Drosophila melanogaster: one gene and its partners. The protein of the gene in region 3 interacts with the protein of the main gene of each other region in a pairwise test. Each region holds a gene or a part of one and is shown on either strand. Other genes may lie near its edges.

Evidence for each region. Proteins that work in one complex are often made in the same cells at the same time.
Region 1: the proteins of RpL22 (region 3) and Efa6 interact in a two-hybrid assay, tested with the Drosophila melanogaster proteins (one large-scale study listed by BioGRID).
Region 2: the proteins of RpL22 (region 3) and CG7231 interact in a two-hybrid assay, tested with the Drosophila melanogaster proteins (one large-scale study listed by BioGRID).

The regions. Positions count from the first base shown.
Region 1 is NT_033777.3:22,584,606-22,593,177, reverse strand, and holds the start of Efa6 (exchange factor for Arf 6), read right to left. Parts: upstream 5,424-8,572; 5' UTR 4,898-5,423; coding exon 4,760-4,897; intron 1-4,759. Other genes in the region: btn (buttonless), read left to right, coding at 6,553-7,029; CG6937 (uncharacterized protein), read right to left, coding at 7,115-7,744, 7,808-8,152, 8,220-8,315; CG33107 (uncharacterized protein), read left to right, coding at 8,534-8,572. UniProt on the Drosophila melanogaster protein: Guanine nucleotide exchange factor for Arf6. Regulates axon growth and branching by inhibiting microtubule polymerisation at the cortex. Together with shot, promotes axonal microtubule bundle integrity.
Region 2 is NT_033779.5:7,980,811-7,989,708, forward strand, and holds CG7231 (uncharacterized protein), read left to right. Parts: upstream 1-3,135; 5' UTR 3,136-3,428; intron 3,429-3,730; 5' UTR 3,731-3,957; coding exon 3,958-4,000; intron 4,001-4,464; exon of another isoform or gene 4,465-4,683; intron 4,684-4,742; coding exon 4,743-4,958; intron 4,959-5,023; coding exon 5,024-5,274; intron 5,275-5,328; coding exon 5,329-5,895; 3' UTR 5,896-5,975; downstream 5,976-8,898. Other genes in the region: pes (peste), read right to left, coding at 7,067-7,517, 7,583-8,367, 8,433-8,741.
Region 3 is NC_004354.4:760,510-769,202, forward strand, and holds RpL22 (ribosomal protein L22), read right to left. Parts: upstream 4,622-8,693; 5' UTR 4,587-4,621; coding exon 4,575-4,586; intron 4,414-4,574; coding exon 3,793-4,413; intron 3,578-3,792; exon of another isoform or gene 3,433-3,577; intron 3,302-3,432; exon of another isoform or gene 2,932-3,301; intron 2,726-2,931; exon of another isoform or gene 2,574-2,725; intron 2,483-2,573; coding exon 2,216-2,482; 3' UTR 2,051-2,215; downstream 1-2,050. Other genes in the region: CG5273 (uncharacterized protein), read left to right, coding at 1-19, 173-852.

The DNA.
Region 1 (8,572 bases), on a different chromosome or scaffold from region 3:
GTACTCCGGTGTGTGCCTCAGGCCTCCGTATCCAGCCCATCTCCATCTGCTCCTCCTCCCCATCCCCATCAAGTATCCACTCCATTTCCACCTCTCAGCGGCGGCACTACGAGCACCACCCCCTACGAAGCTCGAGCTCAAGAAAAGCCGGGTCGCTTGCAACTAAACTGAACTGAACTGAACTGAGCCGAGCCCGGCTATATTTAGTTGGGCTGGGCCGACTGCCTTCCGTCGAGCAGAAAGAGCAAAAAGCAGCAAGAAAACCAACTTAATAAACGCGTGCGCAATTTTTCTACTTTTGTAATTCAATTAAAGCAAGTTTACTCTACTTTTTTGCACTTTTGACTCCCAGTGAACCGATTGAGAAGGGGAGGAAATATATGCACAAATAGGGCCAAGCTCGTAGTTAGGCTACGTGGATGCCCTGTAGAGTATTATGTGCATCCACACTTATTTTCTGATTATTAATATGTTAAAAGGTTTACTTAAAATCGACGATTAACCATTAATATGTAGTACTATTTAAAAGTAAAGTAGCATCACACCCTTGTGACTCACATTAGTATCTTTTATCGAATAAGATGTCTGCATCTGATATTTTACAGATACAGTATCTTAAGTGTGGATCTCTGCCATAGCTTCAGATACGTGGTATAAACTCCAACCACCCTGTAATGGGGCATTTGAGGCAAAAGTTAAAGCCGTATCCCCATCTCTTGACATTTACTTCTATCTCGCAATTGTAATCGAGTGAATGCTTGTTGCTGGATTGTGCTTTTCAGAGCTTGAAGTTTGCCGACCTGCTCGACTCTTCTGTTTTGTTGCCGTCTGTTTTGGTTGTTGTCGTTTTATTCTTGAACGTGTCAATTGTCATTACCCGCAATTTGCCAAAGAAGGCGAAAGATCGGGATCATAACAGCAAACACAGGCATTCCGAAAGGGGGAAAAATCAATAAGTAGCTAAGAGCTAAGAGCTTCTTCTATTGCTTTGCCATTTTTTCTATGGTTTTGTTTTTTTTTTTGTTTCTTTTTGTCTGCGACTTGTCGGTGGCAATTAATTTGTTGCTCGCAGTGGGCGGAGCCCCACAGCCACAACAACAACAACAACTACAATGGGAACAATGACAACGAAAGCGGCAACGGCGAAAAGTCGTTTGTCATTTCCAGTTAACGAGTAATTAAGCATAACGTTAGAATTTTGCAACAACGCCAGTCGAGAACAAAAGAAGCTACAAATTTCGCAGGAGGCGCAAAAAAAACAGGCAACCTAAAATGCCATGGAGGTATACACAACTGATGTTCTAAAGGTTTTGTATTTTATTTTGTCCCGTTTGCGATTTTATGTTTGCCCTAAAAACAAAAAGAAGTGAAGTATTAAATTCTTTTCCTCGAACAGCTGGGCAAAAAAGTAATTTTGAGTGGCGAGCGAGGAGAGAGCAAATCACTTGGCAACCCAAAAGATTAATGACTAAACGAATATAAATAATTTCGAAAAACATCAACAACTAGTTGTGTATTTGCTATTTGATCATGAGTGTTTGGCATGGAGTTTCGCCCAAGCATTCAATGTTTGTTTTTAAATAGATATATCATATGGCTAAAGTTTTGAAAAAGCACAATAAGATATTTATAAATGGGTTTTAATGTAGAATCTATCTAGTGCGCATAGACATTTATATAAATCGACTAGATTTAAAGGCGTAACTGCTTTAGCGCAATTAATGCAATACAATTTGCCACTCAGCCACCTCGGAACGCAGATACTTTTGTCGTCTGGCGAGTGTGTGGAGTATACTTGATGTATCTGAAGAAGTGGGAAAATAAACAAACGTGCGGTAAATGCATTCAGAAATGACAACAAACAGAGAGCAGCAACTGCGAAGAGGCAGGGAACTTAGCTAAAGAAAAGCCAGGCAAAGAAAATGGGAAATGGAAAAGCGAAGGCGACAAAAGACAACCGACGACAGCGTACACACACACATGCAACATACATACATACACACAATTTGTACACACCCAGTTGAGAAGAGCGTGTGTGCATGTGTTTGTGCATTCATTGAAAAATAAAATTGTACCGCAACCAGAATGACGGCATATAAAAAGTAAAATTAATTGCATTCGAGGAGCCGACGCATTGGTTACTCATTAGTTTTTATGTCTTACAGGGTGCGGTCTTGAAAAAGCAACTAATTACAGATGGTATGCTTTGTAAATGAGAGTTATTTACAGTTGAAGGTGCTAAGTTTAAAAATGAGGCAGAAAAATTCTGTATATAACGTTTATAAGGCAACGTGGAGCGTAACCGATACCCTAAATAATACAATTTCTTAGGAACTCAATATGATATTTTTCTGTTATAGCTCGGCTCATAAATATCAAATCAATTGAATTGAAAATTATAAATATTGTTTTTAAACACCCTAGGTGCCAAGATACTCTGGAGCACCCACTTTATAAGCAGTGTGTGCATAGATACACATGTATGTAGATAGAAGACAAGTCAAACAGCCCCAAAACAAGCCGGGCAACAAAAATAACAACAAGTTGTAAGCGAAAGCGATAAGAAATTGAAAAAGTGCGTGCCGCTGCATCCACATCAACACACACACACATATACATATGTATTATGTATATATATAGATACATGTCCATATGTCGATGTCAGTTCGTTGCCTCAAGAAAATTACCGCGATGCAATTGTGTTGCTTTCCATCATACCTGTGTGGCTTGTGTGGAATTACTTAATAATCTCAACAATTTAAAATTCCCAACGCGTTTTTTTGCACTCTGCTTTCACGCATTTCGATTTGTTTTCTGTTGTTTTGTTTGTTCGAGACCAAGTTTTTGTGGTTTTTTGTGTTTTGGTGGTCGGGCGCATAAATTTAACAACCAAAGCTGGAGAATTCTGTTTGGGTTTTCGTGTAAATCGTTTTATTTTATTATTATTTTTTTTTTTTTGTTGCCACGTCCGATAATTACAAAGTAAGTCGGAGGCTTTATGTGTGTGTTAGCATCGGCCTGAGTAAGTTTATTTATAAATTGTTGTCTTTGCATTGCTTTTTATAGCGCTGCATTTGCATTCTGTCGATTTGTTAACTTTGCGTTGCAACTCTTTCGAATCGCAGTTGCATGGGGAAATTAATAACAATTGAAATGGGCCCCACGTAAAGTCCATTCTTATCCAATATCCGCTGGGTGCGTTCATCGAAGAATCCCATTCTGAGAAATCCAGATTGGTAATAGCTACCAAAAGGTGACTATTCTCTATGAATTGTATACTAAATTTACTTAGATAAGATAAATGGTGCGGATGGGCTTTTTCAAGAGAAATTCTATAATACTTTCCGAGTCTCTGATATTACAATATATGTAGATATTTTTAAAATGAACAAAACGCTTTCTGCTGGTTATATCATGAGAATTCCGATTCGATTAAATTGACAATAAATTGATCTTTACACAGCAAAAACAATCGAACAGTAAACATATCAGCATTTTATTGAAAAGAAAGACAAATTATTTGCCTTATTTTGTTCGCTATATTTACACGCTTTGTTTTCTTTTGCACTCGGCTCTAAACATTCGAGATGCGATGCGATGACAGTAAATAGTAAATAAAAGCAAAACAAGCCTGAAAATTGATACACTGGCTTTTGTGTGAGACTACCCGCCCCTCGCCCCCTTCCAGCGCCCTTCCACCCATCAATTAAAGCAACGATGACATCACGAGCGGCAAACAATGATGACACGCCAACGGAGGACTCTCATTTGCGCTTTTCTCGCTTTTTTCGCTTTTTTTTTGTTGCCGTTGTGCAAATTGAAATGCTTTCACATACGCCAGCAGACAGCCATGGTCATCACCATAAAAAAAAGAAGTGGAAAAGTGGAAAATATTCTTATCAGCAGCCGAGGGGCGAGTCTCGGTCGCTTTGCACACAATCCAACTTCCAAAACTCAAGCCACCAGCTGCCATAAAAAATCGTACTTATCTATGTATGTACATACATACATACATATGTACGTATGCACTTTGCGTCAGATAAAACGTCATGAATAATTTGTTTTCCGTTTGAATGCTTATGTAACGGCAGTTGGACGGTATACAAATCCTTCAAAAATTTTAAAACGGTGCTGAAATCACACAATTTGTTATTGCACTTCTCTAAAATCTCCTTAAAATTCCCTGAAAAGCACAAAATTCCAGGGAAAAATGCGTATTGCAGAACAGCAATCTTAACTAGAAACTGGCATGATTTCTATGAATTTTGTCAATTGTCAATTTTTTGTCAATTCTCTAAAATCTCCTTAATATTCCCTGAAAAGCACAAAATTCCAGGGAAAAATGAGTATTGCAGAACAGCAATCTTAACTAGAAACTGGCATGATTTCTATGAATTTTGTCAATTTTGCCAGCTACGTATTTCCATTTAATGATCTTTAATAAATTCCGCTATTGGGCGGTGTGCCTTGTCGAGGCTCTACTGTAGTCTAAAATGTGGCGTTGCCAAAAGTGAGCCCAGCAAGGGAGCTGTTGCTTCTGCTTCTTCGCTGGCTGCTTCCAGTGCCCGGTGGTTGATGAAGTCATTGGTAGAGGTGGTCGGAGGTCACCGGTGGGTGGATATGAGGGGGTGGCATGGGCCGCTCGGTGTGAGGACTCCGCCAGTCCTCCTGTCCCAGACGGGAATGGAATGACACACAGCACACACAAAGGCGCAGAGGAGCTGCAACTGCGGTGTGCTGTTGTGTTTGCTTCACTTACCGCTCCGCAATCGGCTGCCGGCGAATTCTCGACGATGTCGTAGATGACATGTGGCGGTCCGGTGGTTCCGAGTAGCGAAAACCCGAAACCGGAATGCTGCTCGCTGCGCCGCAGCACCACTTTCAGTTCCTCGCTCATTTTGGGTCCTTCGGCGTCCTGCTGCCGATCGGTTCACACTCTTTTCACCGAGTTTTCGTTTGGTTGGTTGGCGGTGTGGGTGGGTAACCCCTGGGCGTGATTAATCCTTTGGGCGACGGCCACTTTTCTTAGTCGCTTTAATTAATTCTCGCTGTTTTGGGCTTGGCCAACTTCATTTGCACACTCTCATTTTGTTTTCACTCTTTCCACTTCACAACATGCACACAAACACACACGCTCACAAACACTCATACACGCACTCACGGATGACGATTTGAAAAAAAGAATGAAACTCCTTGGCGAATTTGTTTAAACATTAAACATTATTGCATTTGCTGCGCTGCTTCTTCTTCTACTTCGTTGGCTTTCTTTCCACGCAATTCTGCGTTCCACGCAAACGAAACTTGTTTAATTCGCCCGTCTGCTTCTCGCTTCGTTTCTTTATGTCGCTTTTGTCCGACTGTTTCGCCGCCGCTTAGCGGTTCGCGGGGGGTTTTAGCCGCACATATTTTGGCGAATGTGGATGCCCAGATATCGCAGATTGTACTAAATGATTGTAAATTGTAAATTGTACTATTGCACTGGGGATGGGAAGCATAAAAGTATTAATATATCGATAGATATCGGAAAGTATTTCTACCGTTGCTTCATTTCTATCGATAGATATATTTAAACCTCTTGTATACTTTTTCTAGATTAAATGAGATTTATTAGCTGACAAAGGAAAATTAAAAGAAATATATGAATAAATCTAGCCAAACAATAACTACACAGCGAAGGACAACAGATATCACTGAATGCCCTTTGGAATGTCATAGTCTGGCAACACTTGAAATGTGCCTATGCCTTAACCAAAAAAGATTACCCAACACTTATTCAGTTTGAAAATAAATGCGGATAATTTAAAACCGGAACCGGTTAATTTTCATATACCGGTATATTATTTAATAAAAACTCAAATAAAAAAGGGTATACCTAAGCCCCAAGAAAAATAAGCAGAAGCTAGAATTTACGTTTTTGCTGTGTCCATTTTATAATTGGTTTCATAATAGGATATCAAAATTTTTTGATTTCTTTTCTAATTTCTAAAACCCCCGTAAGACTTATTTTATTGAACTATTTTATCCCTTAACCATTTCTGTGACACGCACTTATTTCCCCATTAATTATTATATAAAACTCCACTTTGTCATGGATTATCTAGGAATATACACTCAATGGTCACTCGTAATCCGCCGCATCGACTTTAAAAGCGCGTGCAATTGCGACTTTCAGATAAATCTCCGACTGGGTCTTACGACTCGCCGACGGTTGTCTATTAAAATTTTATAGCTCCGCAGTTGGTGGCACAAAGCACTTGACTCATGCGTCCACTTCCGTTTCTGACCGGACGCCTGGGGAAGGGGCTGGGAATCGGATTCGGGTTTGTTGTGACAACAGTTCGTAGGCAAAGACAACAAGCCGATCTGCGGGTGTCATAACCACTCATACCCGAGGTCCAGATGTTGCGCACAATTATCATATCAGCAGCACATCATTTGCGACTAAGTGAAAAAGCAGATTGGCCTGGCACACTCTGCGCCTTGTTTAAAAAGCAGCTCCGCCGAATCTGAGATTTCAGTAATAGTTTAGACCTAGAAGCAAAGACATCGGCAATGAAGAACTCCCACGCGAACGTCTACCAAGAATCCTATTGCTACGAGGATATTACGAAATCGTGGCTGAACCAAACGGAGGGCTATACGGACTGCAGCTATGTATATGACCACAGTGCGTCTTCTTCCTACGCGGATTACAATAAACTAGAAACTAATTGGTGCAACGAAGCGAACGATCAATGGTTACAAAATGAGGCACCTACTGGTCAAGAACTTCCAAGCCAAAGGTCCAAACTCCGGGCAATCAGCTCGAATCGCAAGGAACGCACAGCATTTTCAAAAACGCAGCTCAAGCAGCTGGAAGCGGAGTTCTGCTATTCCAACTATTTGACTCGCTTGCGTCGCTACGAAATCGCAGTGGCGCTGGAGCTGACCGAACGCCAGGTGAAGGTGTGGTTCCAAAATCGACGCATGAAGTGCAAGCGCATCAAACTGGAGGAGCAGCAAGGCAGCTCGGCCAAAACGCCATTTTAGTTTGTACAAGGACATATTTTAACACAATTCATCTTACAAAATGTTTTCGCTTACTTAACAACTATAGTAAATGTATTTTAAGCTACTACTTGGATTTCTTGGCCTTTCCCTTGGGCAAGGGTTTGGCCAGCGACTTGGCTGCGGCCAGCTGCAACTTCTGGGTGGCGGCATTCTTGTTGCTCTTAGCCGGCGGAGCTATTTTCTTCTTCTGCACACCACCAGTGCCGGGCTTGCGTTTCAGTTTATCAGCCAGCTTAGTCTTTTTCTGCTTGGGCGGCGGTGATAAATCCTCCTCTTCGTCGCTGTCATCGCTGGTCTGCTCACTGTCCGCTTGCTCCTCCTCAGCCTCCAGATCGGACTCATCATCGGATGCATCAACGTAGTCCTCATCATCGGAGTCCTCGTTGATGGTGTTGCCCAGCAAATCCTCCAGCGTTGGTTCTTTCTTCGCGGCCGTTTTTTGTTTCTTACCGGCTTTCTTGGCGGCTGCCTGGCTTGTAGATGCCTCAGCGGAGCCTGCTGCTTTCTTTACTGGTTCCACCAGTAAGTTGGAGAAGTCGATGCCCAGATCCTTGTACTTCTCCTGCAGCTTCTTGATCTTGTTGAGATTGGCCACGGTGCGCTTCTGGCAGGCGGACTCATCCCAGTTATTCTGCTTTTTCACGCTGCGCTGTGTGGCTTTGGTTAAATCCGAGACATAGATTTCCTTGCCGGCCTGCAAGTGAAGTACAACTATGAATAACAAACGGACATTAGATGTATTTCCCTTTGAACGCACCTTATTGACAACCTTCTTCAAGGAAGTCCTGAAGAAGTTGAGTGTCTGCTTCTCTGGTGGAATGTAGGTGGCCTTCACCACCTTCTGGAACATCAGGTAGTTGTCCATGGTGTCGGCAGCCACCTTGGCCACCTCCGGGTACTCGAACTCCACGAAGGCGTAGCCCTTGCTGTTACCGGTGCGCAGCGAACGGGCCAAACGGACGCGCAGCACCCGACCGAACTGTCGGAAGTACTGGCGCAGCTGCTGCTCGAAGAATCCGTGAGGCAGGTGCTTCACAATGACCACGCCGCGTTCTGGACCCTTTGGCTTCTGCGGCCTGGCCTTGGTCACCTTTTTCTTTAGCTAAAATGGACGCAGTTTACGGTTATCCAACCCAACGGAGGAGCATTTGTTTTTGGTAGCCGCTCACCTGTCCGGAAACCACATTCTTGGCTGCATCGATGGGCTTTTTGGGCGTGCTTTGCTTCTCGATCTTCTGCGCCTTGGGCTTCTTAACAGGCGGCATTTTAATTAGTGTCAATTCACTAAAATTGATTATTAAAGTAGTAAATGAATAAAAATCGCCGCACGTGGAGCAACAATAATGGTATGACCGTTTACGTTCATGCGATACAGCGCTTAACTAGGCGTTAGGCTATTTGACCCACCCCTTGGTGCCTGGTCACTCTTTCAGTTTATTATTTCTATTTATTTGCTTTGCGCATTTTTTACCGCCAATACAAAATGAATCTATCTGATTCATCGTTGAATAATTCCCTCGTG
Region 2 (8,898 bases), on a different chromosome or scaffold from region 3:
CTTTTCGACATTATTTACTAGGACGACAATTTCTCATTGCCAGTGACCATCAACCTCTTAGATGGCTTCATAACTTAAAGGAACCGAATGCTAAGTTAGAAAGATGGAGAGTTAGATTAAGCGAATACCAATTTAAAATAGATTATATTAAAGGGAAAGAAAATTCAGTTGCCGATGCATTATCAAGAATTAAAATTGAAGAAAATCATCATAGTGAAGCTACTCAACATAGTGCAGAAGAGGACAATAGCAACCTTATTCATTTAACAGAAAAACCAATAAATTATTTCAAAAAACAAATAATCTTTATTAAATCCGATAAAAATAAAGTAGAGCATTCAAAAATATTCGGTAACTCCATTACCACAATTCAATATGATGTAATGACACTTGAAAAGGCCAAACAAATTTTACTCGATCACTTTATCCATAGAAACATTACCATTTATATTGAGAGCGATGTAGATTTTGAAATTATTCAAAGAGCACACATAGAAATTGTTAATACCACCTACACAAAAGTAATTCGCAGTCTTTTCCTATTAAAGAACGTTGGTTCATACGCCGAATTCAAAGAAATCATACTTCAATCACATGAAAAACTTTTACACCCTGGTATACAGAAAATGACAAAATTATTTAAAGAAAATCACTTCTTTCCAAATAGCCAACTATTAATTCAGAATATAATAAACGAATGCAACATATGCAATTTGGCCAAAACAGAACATAGAAACACCAAAATGCCTTTAAAAATCACACCCAACCCGGAACATTGCCGAGAAAAATTTGTAGTAGATATTTATTCATCTGAGGGAAAACATTACATCAGTTGCATTGATATTTATTCTAAATTCGCTACACTTGAGCAAATTAAAACTAAGGATTGGATAGAATGCAGAAACGCATTAATGCGCATTTTTAATCAACTAGGTAAACCCAAATTATTAAAGGCAGACAGAGACGGAGCTTTCTCCAGTTTAGCTTTAAAGCGATGGCTTGAAGAAGAAGAAGTCGAATTACAGCTCAATACAGCAAAAAACGGGGTAGCAGACGTCGAAAGATTACACAAAACAATAAATGAAAAAATTCGTATAATCAATTCATCTGATGATGAAGAAGTAAAATTAAGCAAGATAGAAACAATCCTCTACACATACAACCATAAAATTAAACATGACACTACTGGACAGACACCTGCTCAAATTTTCTTATACGCTGGGCATCCCATATTAGACACTCAAAAAATTAAAGAGAAGAAAATAGACAAAATAAATGAAGACAGACAGGAATTTAATATTGACACTAATTACAGAAAAGGTCCACTACAGAAAGGCAAATTAGAAAACCCATTTAAACCAACCAAAAATGTAGAACAGACAGACCCTGACCATTACAAAATCACTAATAGAAATAGAGTTACGCACTACTACAAAACACAATTCAAAAAACAAAAGAAAAATAATAAACTCTCAATTTCACAGGCACCTGGTACCCGATAACACTATTGTTTATACTGATCACAGCTGTTCATGGACAACAAATTCAAATTAATAATATTGACACCAACCACGGATACCTCCTTTTTTCTGATAAGCCAGTACAGATACCATCCTCCTTTGAACATCACTCCTTAAAAATCAATTTAACTGAAATAGACATCGTGGTTGACTATTTTGAGCAAAGACTACGAACCGATTACCATGCACCCCAGATCAATTTTTTATACAATAAAATAAAAAGAGAACTAGCCGGAATAACCCTGAAACATAGAAACAAACGGGGTCTTATTAACATTGTGGGTTCAGGTTTTAAATACCTATTTGGAACACTAGATGAAAATGATCGAGTCGAAATACAGAAAAAACTTGAAATCAACGTCCATAACTCAGTAAAATTACATGAACTCAACGACGCCATACGATTGATAAATGACGGAATACATAGAAGATTTGGAAATGGCTATGCAGCTTTCCAGACTTGGACTGTTTAACCCCAAATTACTAAACTACGACAAACTTGAAAATGTGAACAGCCAAAACATTTTGAACATTAAAACATCCACTTGGATTAACTACAATGATAACCAAGTATTAATCATATCCCACATACCCATTTACCTTTCACTAATAAGCACAATTAAAATAATTCCTTACCCAGACTCCAACGGCTATCAGCTAGATTACACAGACACACAATCATATTTTGAAAAAGAAAATAAAGTTTATAATACCGAAAATAAAGAAGTAAAAAATGAATGTGTCACCAATATTATTAAACACTTAAATCCAATTTGTAATTTTAAGCCAGTACACACGAACGAAATAATAAAATACATAGAACCAAACACAATTGTAACCTGGAACTTAACCCAAACAATTCTTAACCAAAATTGCCAAAATTCAATTAATAAAATAAAAATAGAAGGAAACAAAATGATAAGAGTAACGCAATGCAAAATAGAAATCAATAATATAATTTTAAGTGAAAATCTGTTAGAACCAGAAATAGATTTGACATCACTATACACACCACTTAATATAACAAAAATAAAAATTGTAAAACACAACGACATTGTTGAGATGATTTCAGAGAACAATATTACACTTTACATACAAATGATCATTGTAATAATCGCACTAATTTTGTTGTACTCATATTTAAGATATGTATCATTTAAACCATTTATGATGCTGTATGCAAAACTTAAAATAAGAAAAAATCAAAATCAAAACACACCACAACAAACAGAAATAGAAGAAACTCCATTTCCCACACTATATCCATCAATCCCAGCCCAAGTATAGGCTTCTCTTTAAGGGAAGGGGAGTGACGTATTTGGGTGGTCCAAACCAGCCACTTCCATTATTTCAAAGAAATCAGTAATGCACTCTAGTAATTTTCCATAACGTATCCCAGCTGCGCAGCATTCGTTTATCTTTGGCAGCGCAGCCGTTCTTGTAAACATCCTAAAGCCTGACCTAAGCAGATTTGACTGCCCTCTTTCAACGCTACCTAATCTTAAGAACCCAAGAGCGAGGCTCTCCCGAAATACAAATATTGTTCAAATACTGAGGCTTCTCCTCAATCCAATTTGCATTTGATTTTTAGTCTTAAGCTGAGATCCAAAGAATAAAGTCGTGAAACTATTTCTCCTAAAACTATTTTTTATTTCTTGGCGTTGTCCTTAGTCAACTGACGGGACATTAGTTCGACTCATAAATAAAACAACAATTTTACTATATATTTTCAATTTTTTTTTTCGCAAGCGTCGCACGTGCGAGCTTTTCCCCCGATATTTATATTCGCCACTCACACACACGCGCACCGAGAGCGACACGTCCGAACGGTTCCAGAGCCGTTAAATTTTCGAACTAAAACTGAGTGTCGGGGGTGTAGTGTGGCCAGTTCTTCTAGCGCTCGTTTCGGTAAAGTTTGTGCTCTCGCTTATTGGCCGCATTTCTTGTGTACCGCCGCATGGTCACTCTAGTGCCGCTCTTTGAACCGCTCTCTTACGTTTTCTCTTCTATTACTGCTGCTCATTTAACAGAAATGTTAAAATGCAACGCTTTTCTAACAGAGACCGCGGTCTAAACTTATTTAAATAACATTTTATCTTTTAATAAGCAAATAAATGTAAATCGTACTTAATGAAATATATGATTTTACAAGATGTGTGGTAATAATTTCCATAAAAACGTTTGTTTGTTCTTTCTTCTTTATAATGTAGTAACTAGTTTAACTAGTCCGCGAGTTCATCGGATAACGTGACCACTTAAAAGATTAGATTTTGGGATATGCGGATAGATTGTCACTACCAATTTACAATACTTAATCAATGTTTAATTAAATCAGCAAATGCTATCGATAAGCCAAACTGAAAAATTGCCATTTAGTTCGTTTCTAACCGTGGCGGTCCCAAGTTCATGATCAAGTGCCCTTAGACCTATAGAAAAAATGGACTCAAAAATTACCTTTCTACTTACAACGCTACTATTTGGTAATTCGTATTTTTGCACTTTTCAAAATCATTACATATCATCATTTTTTAATGTTTTTAACTCATGTACATACGACCCCTGGGTCGCTTGGAAACATTAGGATCCAGACAGTTTAGTTTTGACATAACTTAAAAAAACTAACAGGTATCTGATAGTCGATGCTCCTGTACTCAATTAAAACATTTAAATCTGACGAGTGTGTTGGGTAACATTACTTGATAATACATTTACACAATCGCAAAAAGGGGGTAAAACGTAAAATAGCAACATTTTGTTATTTTTTGTCAATAAGTTGTCATGTAAACTCTTAGAGCTAGGGTATATGAGCGTCGGTCTCTTGAAGTTAAGCACATTTCTCGCCATTCTCACTTCACGTCTGCTCTCTACGCTTGCGCCATTGCACAGCTGACAGATTGAAGAGAATTATTGATGTGCAGTTGCATTGCAGCATTCGGTGAAAGCGGAAGAAGGGCACAACGCGCTTTGCATTCCATAAAAATCGCATAACAAAGGGAGTTAATTAGAGTCCATTCGCGCACACATACATATGTACACGCTCATTGCGAAGTAAACAAATTCACATTGGATTGGATTGCATGTGTTTGCGTATCAATTCTCGCTGGTAGGGTGGTAAGGAAGGCAAATGGGCTTATCTACGCGTATCTGCCATATTATGCCCTCTGTGCGTCCCATTGTCCAATTGTGGAATATTAATGCCGTCTATTTCACGTCCACTCGCAGTGCTCGTGGCCAAAATCAATGGGTCTGCTCTGAACGCCAGCAATTATCAGTACCAAGTGGTGGTCGAGCAGACAGCGCCAGACGATTCCCAGATCGAATATATATTCCTCAAACAGTCGGATATGATGAAGGTATGGGGCACAAATCTCACTGCCATTACCTGGGCCCATGCCGTCAACAGCCAGCAATTGCTGGACGAGGTCCTAACCGAAACCAGTAAGATCATTGGCCAAATATGCGCGTGTAACCAACTTATCAATAGTATCATTTCCCTGCCCAAGGTGGCATTGACTTCATCGAAGCGGACATTGTGCTGGGCAAACTGAATGGCGATGGCGAGGACATGCCCATAATGGCCCATCCGCCGGCCAATGTCTCTGATCTTACGCTGTCGGAATTTCTCAACCAGATCATTAATTTCAACCGTGATCATGAGGACCAAAAAAAGGGCGTTAAGCTCGACTTCAAGTCGATCGAGGTATTCGAGGGTTCCCTGGACATTCTGGACGTGAATATTCCGAACGTAAGTTTGGTCATCGAATCTCAGATATCAGAACAAATTAAACAATATCTCTGTGTTGTGCAGCCTACCACGTATCCTGTGTGGATAAACGCCGATATTCTAAGTGGTCCCGTGGAACAGAATAGAACCGTACCCGTTGATGCGGACCGATTCTTCGCCGGCTGTATGCGCTACAAACAGGCAGTGCTCTCCATTGGCTGGACAACTAACTGGGGAGCCGACTTCCGGGATGGCGAGTACACGCAGCAGCAGTGTGATGACATGCTGGAAACGCTGAGCGAGAACAATGTCCTATCCACTGGCCAGGCCATAACCTTTCCCGTGCGCGCTGGCATTGCCGCCAACAGCGAGGAGCAACTGCATCGACTGGTGGCCGCGGTGAACGAGACAAACGAGAGCACCCTGACCATCTGGTCGTCTGCCGGTGACTATGTGGATGTGGATAAGTTGCGCAAACTGATCTTCAGCTTCGGCTTGGATAGAGTCTATCTGGATGTGCCGGAGGAGCTGGCCTCACAATTGAACCTGGACAATCCCGGCAACGGAGCCAGCACCTTCAAATCCCTGTTTGGCTTCAGTTTCATGAGCCTTTGTTTTTGGGCTCTGTCCAGCTGGATGCAGCGGTTATAATATACGTAATTAATATAAGTACGGTAATCAGAGCAATTTTTATACAACTTCCAGAAAACATAATTAAAACTTATACTTTTATGTGTTGACAGTTTTATTTTCGTTTAGGTGGAATTGTTGGAAATCGCCTTGGATGACGAGTCATCTTATATAAAAAAGATGAATTTTAAAACACATTTAATTATTCAAGTGTATTGTGTGGATTTAAAGAAACTTATTTAAGGGAATATGTTTCTCAAGGCAAAGACAAATGTAAAGTTTAATAGTAACAAATGTATAAATTGATTGGATTTCGAATTTAAAATTTATATGAAGATATGTTTGGATATTTTTTTTTCAGGGTCTCCATACGTAGTTTTAGTAACTACTGCCATTTTCAGAAAGTCCCTCTTTGATCACTTGATTTTAATAATTTTTTCTATTCATTTATCTTAAGGAATTTTTGGAAATATTTCCGGGGTTCACAGCTGTGCTTTATAATCTAGGTATTTAGATCTTACACTGATCGACATTTGTACATAGGATATGCGTAATCTTTGCAGTGCTAGCGTTATTTGTACAAGACTTAAAACAACAACTATAATTTTTAGTTTTTCGGCCTACCTATGTAAATGAGCAACAATTCTCGCTACCTATGTTCTCTGTTCAATATTATTTCTATATAACTTCAGATCAATCTGCATTAAAATCTTAAATATCGCTCTACAAATGTTATGCATTATTATATAAATATAAATACTTTGGGCATGCGCAGTTTAAACTTCAAGAATTAAGGAAAATGAGTAATGGGGCGCTCTAAGCGAGTCGCTCTATATACAATTTAGTTTATCCTACTAAAATAGTTAATGACTTTTTGCTTGCGTTTTCTGCTGTTATTTGGCACTAAAATAAATAATCTTATAAATCTCTCTCGCTGTCCGCAAAGCGTGCAGATGTGTTGAGGGAACTCCTAATGCGATTGGGGCATGCGTGGTAGGTAATGTGGTGGTATGTGACGTGAATTGGAACGACATCCTCGATGAGCAACTTGGTCCAGCCTCTTAGAGCCTGGCTAAGGCAGAATGGTTTCATCACGTTGTTCTAAGCTATTCTAAGCTACGGCGACGTAAATGAGTCTCAGGCAGATGATCGTTGGCGGCACCGTCAGAATGGCTTGATGCCAACGCATGTATTATCTAACTACAACATCGGGCGAGTCCTCGCTGATCAGACGCTCCCTGTGCGAGCTTTCCATGGTACCACTCTCCAGTCTTATGCCAGAATCGCGATTATAATCCAGTAGGCGCACTCCCACACGCTCGTTGCCCGATGAACTAATGTTGTTCCGGAATAGTTGGGCCACCGGCGCTGTGGCTGCCGACGAATTTACACCAAAGGCGTTCAGTGGTCGCAGGACACTGGCCTTCGCCTTTGGATCGCTGTGACAAAAGTGCGTCACTTGTCGCGTCGGGTACCAGCAGGTGCATATAAGACCGCCCGCCAAAAGGATGCCGGTTACTATCTGCCCCAGCAGGACAATTAGCGGAACAAGCGCAATGTCTGCGGCAATTTCCTCTGATACGCGTACGCGCTCCTCGCACCACATCATGGGTATCATGACCGTCGGGACATTCTCATACAAGCTGAAAGAAAATGAAAATATTAGTTTATGTAAGGAAAAGGCTTATGTAAAGGTCAAGTTACTTACGTAATACCCGGAATTGGCTCCATGTAGTAGTTGGCCTGAAAGCCACCACCCACGTCCATTGGCACGCCCGCATTGGGCTCCAGGGCCATGAAGAACTCGTGCTTCTCGCGTTCTGGTCGCAAACCCTCGATGGCCTCCAGATAGCTTGGATCCGCCATGTAAAAGTGCGGAAAGGACATGTAGACGGATGCGTTAAAGGAGCAGGGTCCGATATTGATCACACCGCTGGGCATACACTTTCCTCCGACGCAATAGCAACGGGTATCCGGATATAGAGTGCCATTGTCCACAGCGTGCCGGGTGCCACTGAATTTGTAGGCGGTCACGCCGTGCACGGTCACAGTTTCCACGTAGTCCAATGGTATAGCACGACACATCTTGGGCATGTACATGTAGACGGTGTCTTTGGTGCCAAGATTGGGCGGAAAGAATTCGCCCATCGAGCCGTGCACCTGCCCGCAGGTGCCCTCAAAGGCTCCAGTATGCGTCAAATTATTCCACGTATGAATCTGACCCATTTTAGCGATATCATCAGCTCCTGTAAACATGTTGATATCACCATCGAACTCGGAACTGCCATTTCGTGGGTAATGGTAGCCTATACGTTTGTAGGGAACATCCTGAGGTCTCAACAGCTTGCCCACGCTTATGAATGGATGCTCGTAGCCCTTGAAAAGCATTTCATCAACTGTTTTCGTAATGGTCACTCCCTGTCTATATAATTTATTGGCAATGTTAACGCCAGTTCTGGCAAACCAGTCGACGGCCGCACGTCTAGCAGCAGACTGTTTAAAAATAATTAAGATGTTAATAGATTTCATTGAGATTGAGAGATGTTCTGAGAACTTACGTGCGCTACGCTGTTGACCGTAGTCACTTTATCCCATAAACTTCCGTTGCTGCCGGCAGCATCAAAGTAGAACCAGGACTTTTTGTGAAATGATACGGAGGCGTTATGATTGTGCCATTCGATGTCCACCTTATCGGGTTTCTCTCGAAACCGATAGGGTCCCAGTTGCTCAAAGTGTGGCTTCTTGTTCGATCCCACATAGAAGTCATCTGGATTGGTCCAGTTAAATAGATATATATCGAAGTCTAAAGGCAGCGGCGACACCTTCCAGCCCTCGAATGATCGTGAATTGGGGCTCAGGGCCATTTCCTATAATAATGAAAAATTTTTATTAAAATATACAATGATCAAACAATACAATGATAATCGATTTACATAATGAGTTTGCTATAATTTAGGATAACTGGTTGCTAAATTGGCACAGCAATTAAACGTCGAATTCGTTGATGAACAATTGCGCACCGAG
Region 3 (8,693 bases):
TCCTCTGGCTTGGGCTTCGGTAAGACGTCTAACACGCAGTGTATCACGATCCCCTGCAGCAATCTTCTGTTGCTGACTCATATTTGCTTTAAGTGCTCACATAAATCGTGTAAACGCTTGTTGTTTAAGTGACACACCTGTTTTTGCGCTTCAATGTTTAATTTCTTCGCAGGAACTGGACTGCTTGCTGGCGGCTTGGGAGGTGCCCTGCTGGGTCACGCCCTCACTCCCTCGGGAGGCAGTTCCTCCTCGCAGCCGGTTGCCGCAGCTCCAGCTGCTGGTCAGGATCGCATAATCATCATTAACAACGGCGTGCCAGTGAATGCCAGTGATGGCACCACTGTGATAAATGCAGCAGGTGTGGCTGCTGCCCCGGGAGCAGTTCCAGCGGCCCCAGTTCCCTCTTCCAACACCACCCAAGATGCCCAACAGCCAGCCGTACCCATGGCACCAATGCCCTTTAATCCAGAGACCTCTAACATGACCGCGCCGGACCCAGCTGCTCCCCCACCGCCTGGAGGCATTATTTGTGTGCCCACCAAGGTAAACGAAACGGATCCGGCTGACAGCACCAAGATGATAGAGGTGGAGAAGATTGCCTGCTACCCGGCACCCCCGCCACCAGCTGCTTCCGCCGGCGAGGGTCCAGCACCACTGGCGCCCATGGCCGCTGATCAACCAGGATCGCAGCAGGTGCAGCAAGTGCAGCAGGCACAGGATGTCGCCGCTCCAATCCAGGCATCCGTTCGCTCCCACACCGGCGGAGCTCGGGCCTTGGAAGGATTGACCATGCGGACCCTTCTGCTCGTGCTTATGAGCGGAGTGGTGGCCAAGCGGCTCGCTGGCTTTTAGAGACCATGCTTCTGGAACGTTCCACTGTGCACCCACTCAATTACCCGACTACCTACTGTACCTTCCTCCCCAGCTGTTGTGGCCTTGGCGCGCATATTTGCGCTGACCAACATCGATAATTCCAGGCGCTAATTGGACAAAAACTCTTGAATTATGCCGTACCATCTCCGACTACAGTATTTGTGGATAAACAAGCTGGCTTCCCAGTCAAAAAGCCCCCTTTTCCAATTTGGCCTTCAATTGTGATTGTTGCGGTGTGCATGGGCCCCGTAACCGTAACCGGGCCCGGACCCATCCCAGTGTGCTCGAAATCAAAGCAAACGCTCGAATATCTCTGCAACTACATACATACATATATATATATATATATACATTTATATAGCCCTATGTGCAAACCCAACTCAAAAGCCTTCTGAAGAAAGACAACCTGAATGTAAGTTCCCACTAAAAGTGTGTATTTTTCTAGACTTGTTAGCGTAATTGTTGCTTGTTTTTGTATTGCTGTGAGCAAACGTATTTGTTGCACTCTTCAATTGTTGAATAAAATAAAAGCTTTCGCCTACACCTACAACACCCGCCACGTATGAGTTTCATTTCACATGGCCGGTGCCCACGATGCACACGCCTAAACGAAATGGGAAGCTGACTAGTTAATGGTCCGCTTGCATAACGATGAGCACACCAGTGGTCCGGACTATTCTAGACCCCCTGCTTTCGTAACCACAGACGGACTAACGTACTGCGATTTGCAGCTAGTTAAATCTGTAAACTCTCGGATGCCCTGAAAGTAGACAGCTGACAAGAGCACCCCCCATACATCTTAATTATTCGATTGGATGCAATCCAACTGACTGGCTTTATATAAATCTACTTTCCGTCTTTCTAAGTTTCAAGTAGTGTTCATTATGTGGATGACCAGATAATATAAACAATTAAATTATGCACATAGTATTCAATAGTATTCATCACTCTTTCAACAAAGAGCACCAACCGATCACGGAAAAAAGCGAGACGGGGATATCGGATTTGTTGGATTGGATAAATGTCTAAATATATAAAGTACATGCCCACAACCAAATGTCTTTGAAGGCAAATCGTTTTCAATGATTATAGCCGCATCTTCTCAAGCGAAATAAATTGAATAGGTCTTTTCTCCCAGATAGATTTGTACTAACAATAAAAATGACTTGGGGGTCGTAAGGTTCACACACAATTGTTTTATTGAGGCTAGCCCGAAGTTTTCTTTTTTTCATGAGTTCACATCTTTCTGTTAGCTTATAAAAACACGCCGCTTGAGGGCGTGAAATGTATAATAAAAACCAATGTAAACCTAGTGATTCCACTGAAGGGATCAGCTACATCTTTACTCGGCATCGTCGTCCTCATCGTCGTTGGAGCTGATTCTGAAGTAGCGCAGCTCGTACGAGTCCTTTTCGTTGGCCACCACACGGATCCAGTCGCGCAGACTGTTCTTCTTCAGGTACTTCTTGGTCAAGTACTTGAGGTATGCCTTGGAAAAGTGAACGTCGGAGCTGACAATGAGCTTCAGCTTGGAGCGCTCGAAGGTGACGTTGTTGCCCAGGTTGTTCACCTTGCCGTTGACCTTAAGGCGGGCCTTGATGTACTTCTCCTGCGGGCGGAATAGAGAGGGTATTCCGGGTTAGTTCAGCTTGGACTGGGCTGGATCTTTGGGGCAGCTCCTGCTAGCGGTAAGCTGGGCTAAATGTCTCTTTCTTTGTTAAGGCTAAGAGTCGAGTGGGTAGAACAGAGAGCCCAAATAAAGAAGAGTGACCAATTTTTTGCTCTGCCACTGAGTACACTGCCATCAGAGCGACGCATAAAGCTCACTCTCTGACGGCAAATCGGCGTGGCCTGTAAAATAGATTTATCTAGGTGATAGATGACCAATGAAGGGGCCATGGAACCAATAGGTGCGGTACTTTTCGGACGGCGTGCCAGTAAAGGAAACTTCTTAAGGGGGTTTCCAGTCAAATGACTCAGTCGCATGCATGCGACTATGTACCTTTCCCCCAGTGGTTCCATTCCCCGTTTGTGAATGCAGCATAAGATTGTAGTTACCTGATCCCGTGACGTAGGCGACACTTGAACTATTCAGCGCCCTGCTGAGAAGCGCGTTTAGCGCACTCGGTTTGCCCACTAGCGGGTACTTAGTCAGTTGGCTTATCACTTGGCATATGGAAGAAGCACCTAATTCTAACTTCTACAAGTTGGGAAAACCTGCAGTGCCACGGAAGAGCGGGCACTGTGAGCAGGGCGCACTATGAATTTTGGCCTGAGGCGCCACGGATGTGGTCGCACTCAACCCAGGGCCCACCACGTGGCGGTACACATAGCACGGCTTGACGCTGTTCACAGACGGTTGCACCACTGGCCAGTGCCAGGTCACTGGCGGTCAGTGGCTACCCCGTTGTGCAGTGCCCAGAGCCCCTTGACTACAAGCGCGATTGGAAGGCGCTGGGAAGAAACGCGTGTGCCCGCATGAGGCAGCGAAAGATTCGACTTGGTTTAAAACGGAACGGACACCTACCTACCCTTCCTATGACTATCATCTACATTTAGCGTTGTTCCAGAAGTTGTTAACCGCCGGCGGCACGGGAAAGTCCGCTGGCAGTTTATCGCAAAATGGAGTGAACTCACTATAACCACAACTTTTTATCCAGAGCCCCTGGTTAACTTGGAGGGCAGTGGAAAGCTTGGTGCGGTAAGACTATACAGATTTCGATCTGGTTAATGCTTTCAAATGTTTTGGGAGAACAATTTATAGTTATAGACGGCACACTACTACTTTTACCATAGACAGTGAAAGATACTAATGGGCAATACATCCCCCATAACATCTTGAAAGCAACGACAGATTGTAACCAGTGCTTGGTACTGAGCGGTGAGATTTGTGATCATCTGTGTACCCCATGTACTTACGAAGTCGGCCACATCCATGATGCTATCCTCAGCAATGTTGGTGCAGTCGATAGTGAAGCGCAGCGAGACCTTCTTCTTCTTCTGTCCCTTGCCACGCAGCACGTTCTTCTTGACCACCTTGCTGGGAGCTGGGGCAGCCTTTGCCTTCGGCTTAGGCGCGGGCTTGGCGACAGCAGGAGCAGCTGCAGCCGGAGCGGGAGCAGCAGCAGCCGGGGCTGCGGCCTTGGCGGGAGCAGCCTTCTTTGCTGGGGGAGCGGCAGCAGGCGTGGAGGCAGCCTTCTTGGCCGGAGCAGCCTTGGCGGGAGCCGGAGCAGCAGCAGCCTTGGCGTCCTTCTTGGGAGCAGCGGCAGCGGGAGCCTTCTTTCCGGCATCCTTGGAAGCGGCGGCGGGCTTGGCAGCTGCGGGCTTGGCTGCCGCGGGCTTGGCAGCAGCGGCGGCTGCCTTTACATCCTTGGCCGCCTCGGACGCCTTCTTCACGTTCTTGGCCGCGGCGGCGGCGGGCTTGGCGGCCTCAGCCTTCGGCTTCTCCACCTTGCCCTTGGCGGCGGCGGCTGCGGGAGCGGCCTTCTTCTCCGCTGGCTTAGCGGCAGCGGTCTTGGTATCACCCTTGTTGGTCTTGGCCTGCTCACCGAAAAAAAAAGCAAAAAAAATCACACGCACATTCGACAAATGGAATATTTCGCTGCTGGCCACCGACTAGGGCTTTCCGCTGCAGAGTTACACAACTTGGAGCTCCCGGGCGCCGGTGGCCAGTCGCGAAACTCATATTTCGGAGCACTTACGGTAGGAGCCATCTTGTCAGTCGAAAACCACGAGGAAAAAGAACAGAAGGCGGAAGCGACGGCAAGAAGAAGAGACGGTTGGTGTGGCCGCAGCGCGCCAACGCCGTATTCCGATAAGCCACGCTGCAATTGCATCCCTGGGTTGGGAACTCCGCTATCCCGCAACCGTGTTCCAATCCAATGCGCAGTTATGTTCCCAGCGTTCAGCAAAAAAATGAATACTCTGCTTAAAAAAATGATGTTTTCTTACTATTCAGACAGCCTTTCGTACAGCGAATATTAAAACCTATGGTCAATATGCGAACAAGGCCTTGCTATGCCGCAACAACGCTAACGTCCCTCGAATTGCGCTTGAAAGTAAAAGCCATCATAAAGAAACTTCCAGACATAAAGTCCTATAATTACCAACACCCCGAACGTGCCACGAGATTGGCCCGCCCCTGTGACCATATATCATAAAACTATGGCGAGGAGCAAGACGAGAAGAAGCAGCGAAAAAGCAAAAACGATGAAGAGAAGACAAAGAGGATGATGAGGAGAAGAAGCCGCGGGACGTGCATTTAATTTTTAGCTGGAACCCTGATCACAGCGCCATTTGCGCGGCATAAAATCACAATTGCGGAGTTCGACATTGCATTGTTCTCAGTGCAGATCTGCTTTTCAACCGCCCCGCGGTTGCCCCCACAAATTGGCGATAATGAGCATTCTGCCGAAAAGGAAACCGATTGATTGCCTCCTGCGCCCGCTCCACGTGTTGCCCCTTTCCCTTCCCTCTTCCACTTCCAATCTCGATCCGGTTCCTCCGCCACGCCCCGTTTTCGGCTAGCAGCTTCGCATAATTTCCAGTATTCTATTTCTATTTCTATTTCTATTTCCAGTAATCATGAATTCCCCACTTCGTACTAACAATTCATTTTGATCCTTGTGGCGCCCTGGGGATTGCGTGCATTCAAGTCATACTTTTCGCTGCCGCTTCTGTTTCCGACCCGTGTTTGCCGCTTTTTAACTGCCCAGATTGGCTGGGCACCAGAGTCCTGATCTCTGTGCGCACTTCACTCCGTTGTCGCAGATGGAGTCTTCTTACCTGGCCCATCCCGATGGGCCAGAAGGCCTTATCACACGGACCCGTCCGTCGCTCGCTTATCATTTAATGAACGCCCAGCTTCTATTCCCAATCCCCGTTCTTATCTCGAGTAAAAGAAGGTCCACTCTCGGCAATAGTTTCGACACTGGGAGAAAGTGCAGATTGTATCTTCGGTCTCCTACCTGAACGCGGGCAACATGTTGCAAGGGAATTCCAAAGGCCTAGACAACCGAAAGTATTTTTCACAGTGATCCCAACCGCACCTTCGACTGCAGCGCAGTGTCTATATATGCAGCGCCAATCGTGAATCCATCTACTAATTAATTGACTCTTTGTGTTCGTCTTATTTCGCCTGTAAGCGCTCACTTGCCCATGCTGCCTCCATCTCCATTTGAGTGGACGTCTGAGCCAGATATCCGCTTCCAGCTAGATAGCCAGTCATCCGAGCCAGGCGCGCATCTCATCTCTGGCGGCGCTTTCGTTTCATTAAAAGCCCGTTTCAATTTTCTGCATTTTAGTGCCTGATGCACTTTGGCATATCGAGGGAATGCTCTTCGTTTTTTGCCATTTTTACTGTGTTTCTGGCCGCCTCCTTCGGCTTTTGACTTTGGGACCGGCTTTGTGGTCTAACAACATATATTTGCACTTTGTCCGTCCCATGTGCTCTGCTTCTCGTCTGCGGCTCCTCTGCCTGCCCATCCTCGCTCGCTCTGCAGTCTTCAGTGGCCATGCCCGAAGTTTAACCCATGGGAACTCAAGCATACAATGCGAAATATTATGTCGAATAAATGAACTAATGAAATACGATTCTTCCGCGATCTTAAGGATTGCCTTCCTTCACCTTGGGTTTGGTCAGTTGCACGATAGTGCGTACGGCATGGGTTAATGTGGGGAGCGAGTGTGCAGATAATTTTGACATTTATCCCTTATCTGCGGTTCGCTTCGGTTGAAAATGGAAATTCTGAGGAACCCCTTGCGTTCGCATGCGGATTTGTATCTCTGTGAGGTCGCTAAATTAGCACCTAGACGGGCCGCAGAAAATCGCAGGGGGAAGTGCCTATTGAGCTCCCCCAAAGCCCTTCATTTCTTGGCGGGCAACTTTATTAGCACCCGGCGCGGCTCACATCTTCGCCGACACTGCGCGGGACTATCTCCCCCTCCTTCCGCCAAGATATGGCAAATTATATCTTAAGCGCCCTCCGCCGCGAACAGTTTGTTGTAGGCCAAGCCCTCGCAGAGGTCGGATCGAGGGCTTTGTCACTGTGTCGTGCCACCTTTTAGATTATTTTAAATCTCCAATTTTGGGGTTTTTGTTGTGCGGGCTCCTTCCTATAGAGGCTGAACCTCCCATGGCTAAATTCAGGCTTGCAGCTCCCTCGATTGGGCCTGTTGAACGATTTGTGCATATAAACGAGACCTAATTCCATTAGGAGATTCGCGAATGCCTTGGTGTTTGTATGTTTCGCCCTGGAGCCTAGCCAAATGTCTGAATGAGCTTGGAATCAGGTGCTTACGTACCCGCCAGCCGAAGATTTATTTGGCTGGTGTAACAGGAGACAGGGGATAATCCCATGTAACGCTCTTGGTACGCATTGCAGGCTTCTCCCCTCCCTTTGTGCTGGGAGTAACTTTAGATTGCTTTAGTCTGAGCCGCGGTAATTCACACGGAGTGGCCAACTGACGAATGATTCCTGGCATTGTAATTATCGCATTACTTGTATGGCTTCTGCAAAGAAAGAACGAAAGAGTTGGCAGAGAGAAGTCCGCTGGGTGACGGAATGAATTGCTGGCGGGCGCCATTCCCCCCTTCTCCTGGTATTTTGATCCACGGGAAGAAATCAGTACCTCCATGGCCATATTTCGATTTGTTTGTGTCTGGCCCCCATCCTCCCTCGAGTATCCCGCAAGCTGGGCGAGCAAGGAGATAAATAAAATAAATATTGACGCGCGTCCAATTCGCAAGAGGAAAGGCAAAAGCAAAGGCAAACAGTATGGGAGAAGCGAAAAGGGGGACGAGCAGAGCAAACATCGTGACTTGGAGCGGCGGCGAAACATCAAGCGAACTGAATAAAGTACTCAAAACTTATTTAAAAGTACTAAACACAAGTACCGCAGATTAATAAGCGCTTTTGAACTCGGCCGACCAGAAAACTAGTTAATGGAATGCTCGCCAAGCCGAAAGAGAGCCACATACTCGCCTATACATATGTATGTCGGATACGCATGTGCCTGCTGGGAGTTGTGTGGGGTTGGATCCACTGGACATGGGAGTGGAAGTGGGAGGTGACTAATGTGGACATCTTACACGAAAGCAAATAGCTACAAAGGCCCAACCAAGGAAGGAATAATAGCACATTTACCATGCTTTCTCCTCATTGCACTGGACCTATTCGGTTGGGCCTAGACACTTGCTCACCACGACTTCCGATATCCGTCCAAATGGCCCGAATGGATGGATGTCGGACTATTTTCCGCCAACAAAGAGCACCCTATTACCACCACTGGACCAATCTACAGCAGAGGGGATCAGACACTTAACAGAGACCCGCTCGATCAGCAAACAAAAACATAGAACCCAGTGTGGAATGAGTGGGTAAACAAAAGAGGCTGCCTCTTATTCGAGAGCGGCGGTGGAAGACCGAGTGCAAGTGCTTACATTAGCTATTATGCGCCATCCAGTCCGCTCCATTCCCACTCCCATTCCGCGTTCAGATCGATTTCTTTGATGGTGTTTTAACGTGCGCATCCAAGTTCAAACAACTGGCGGATCTCGAGCACCAGCCGCACAAAAACAAACAAACAAAGCGACCTGCTCGTCTCCGGTTTTGTTCCTCGACTCGGGGGTACTTACATGGGGGATTAGCTGCGATGACAATTGAGAGATCTGAAGGTCTGCGATAGGGGATCGGTGATCAGGGAGGGGGATCGGACCGGCACTGAATGCTAAGTGGTTGTAGCGATAGTTTTCTTGTGTGTGCTTTACTCTGGAATATTAGCTCTAGACTCGGAAGAGCACCATCTCAACGTGCAAAAGC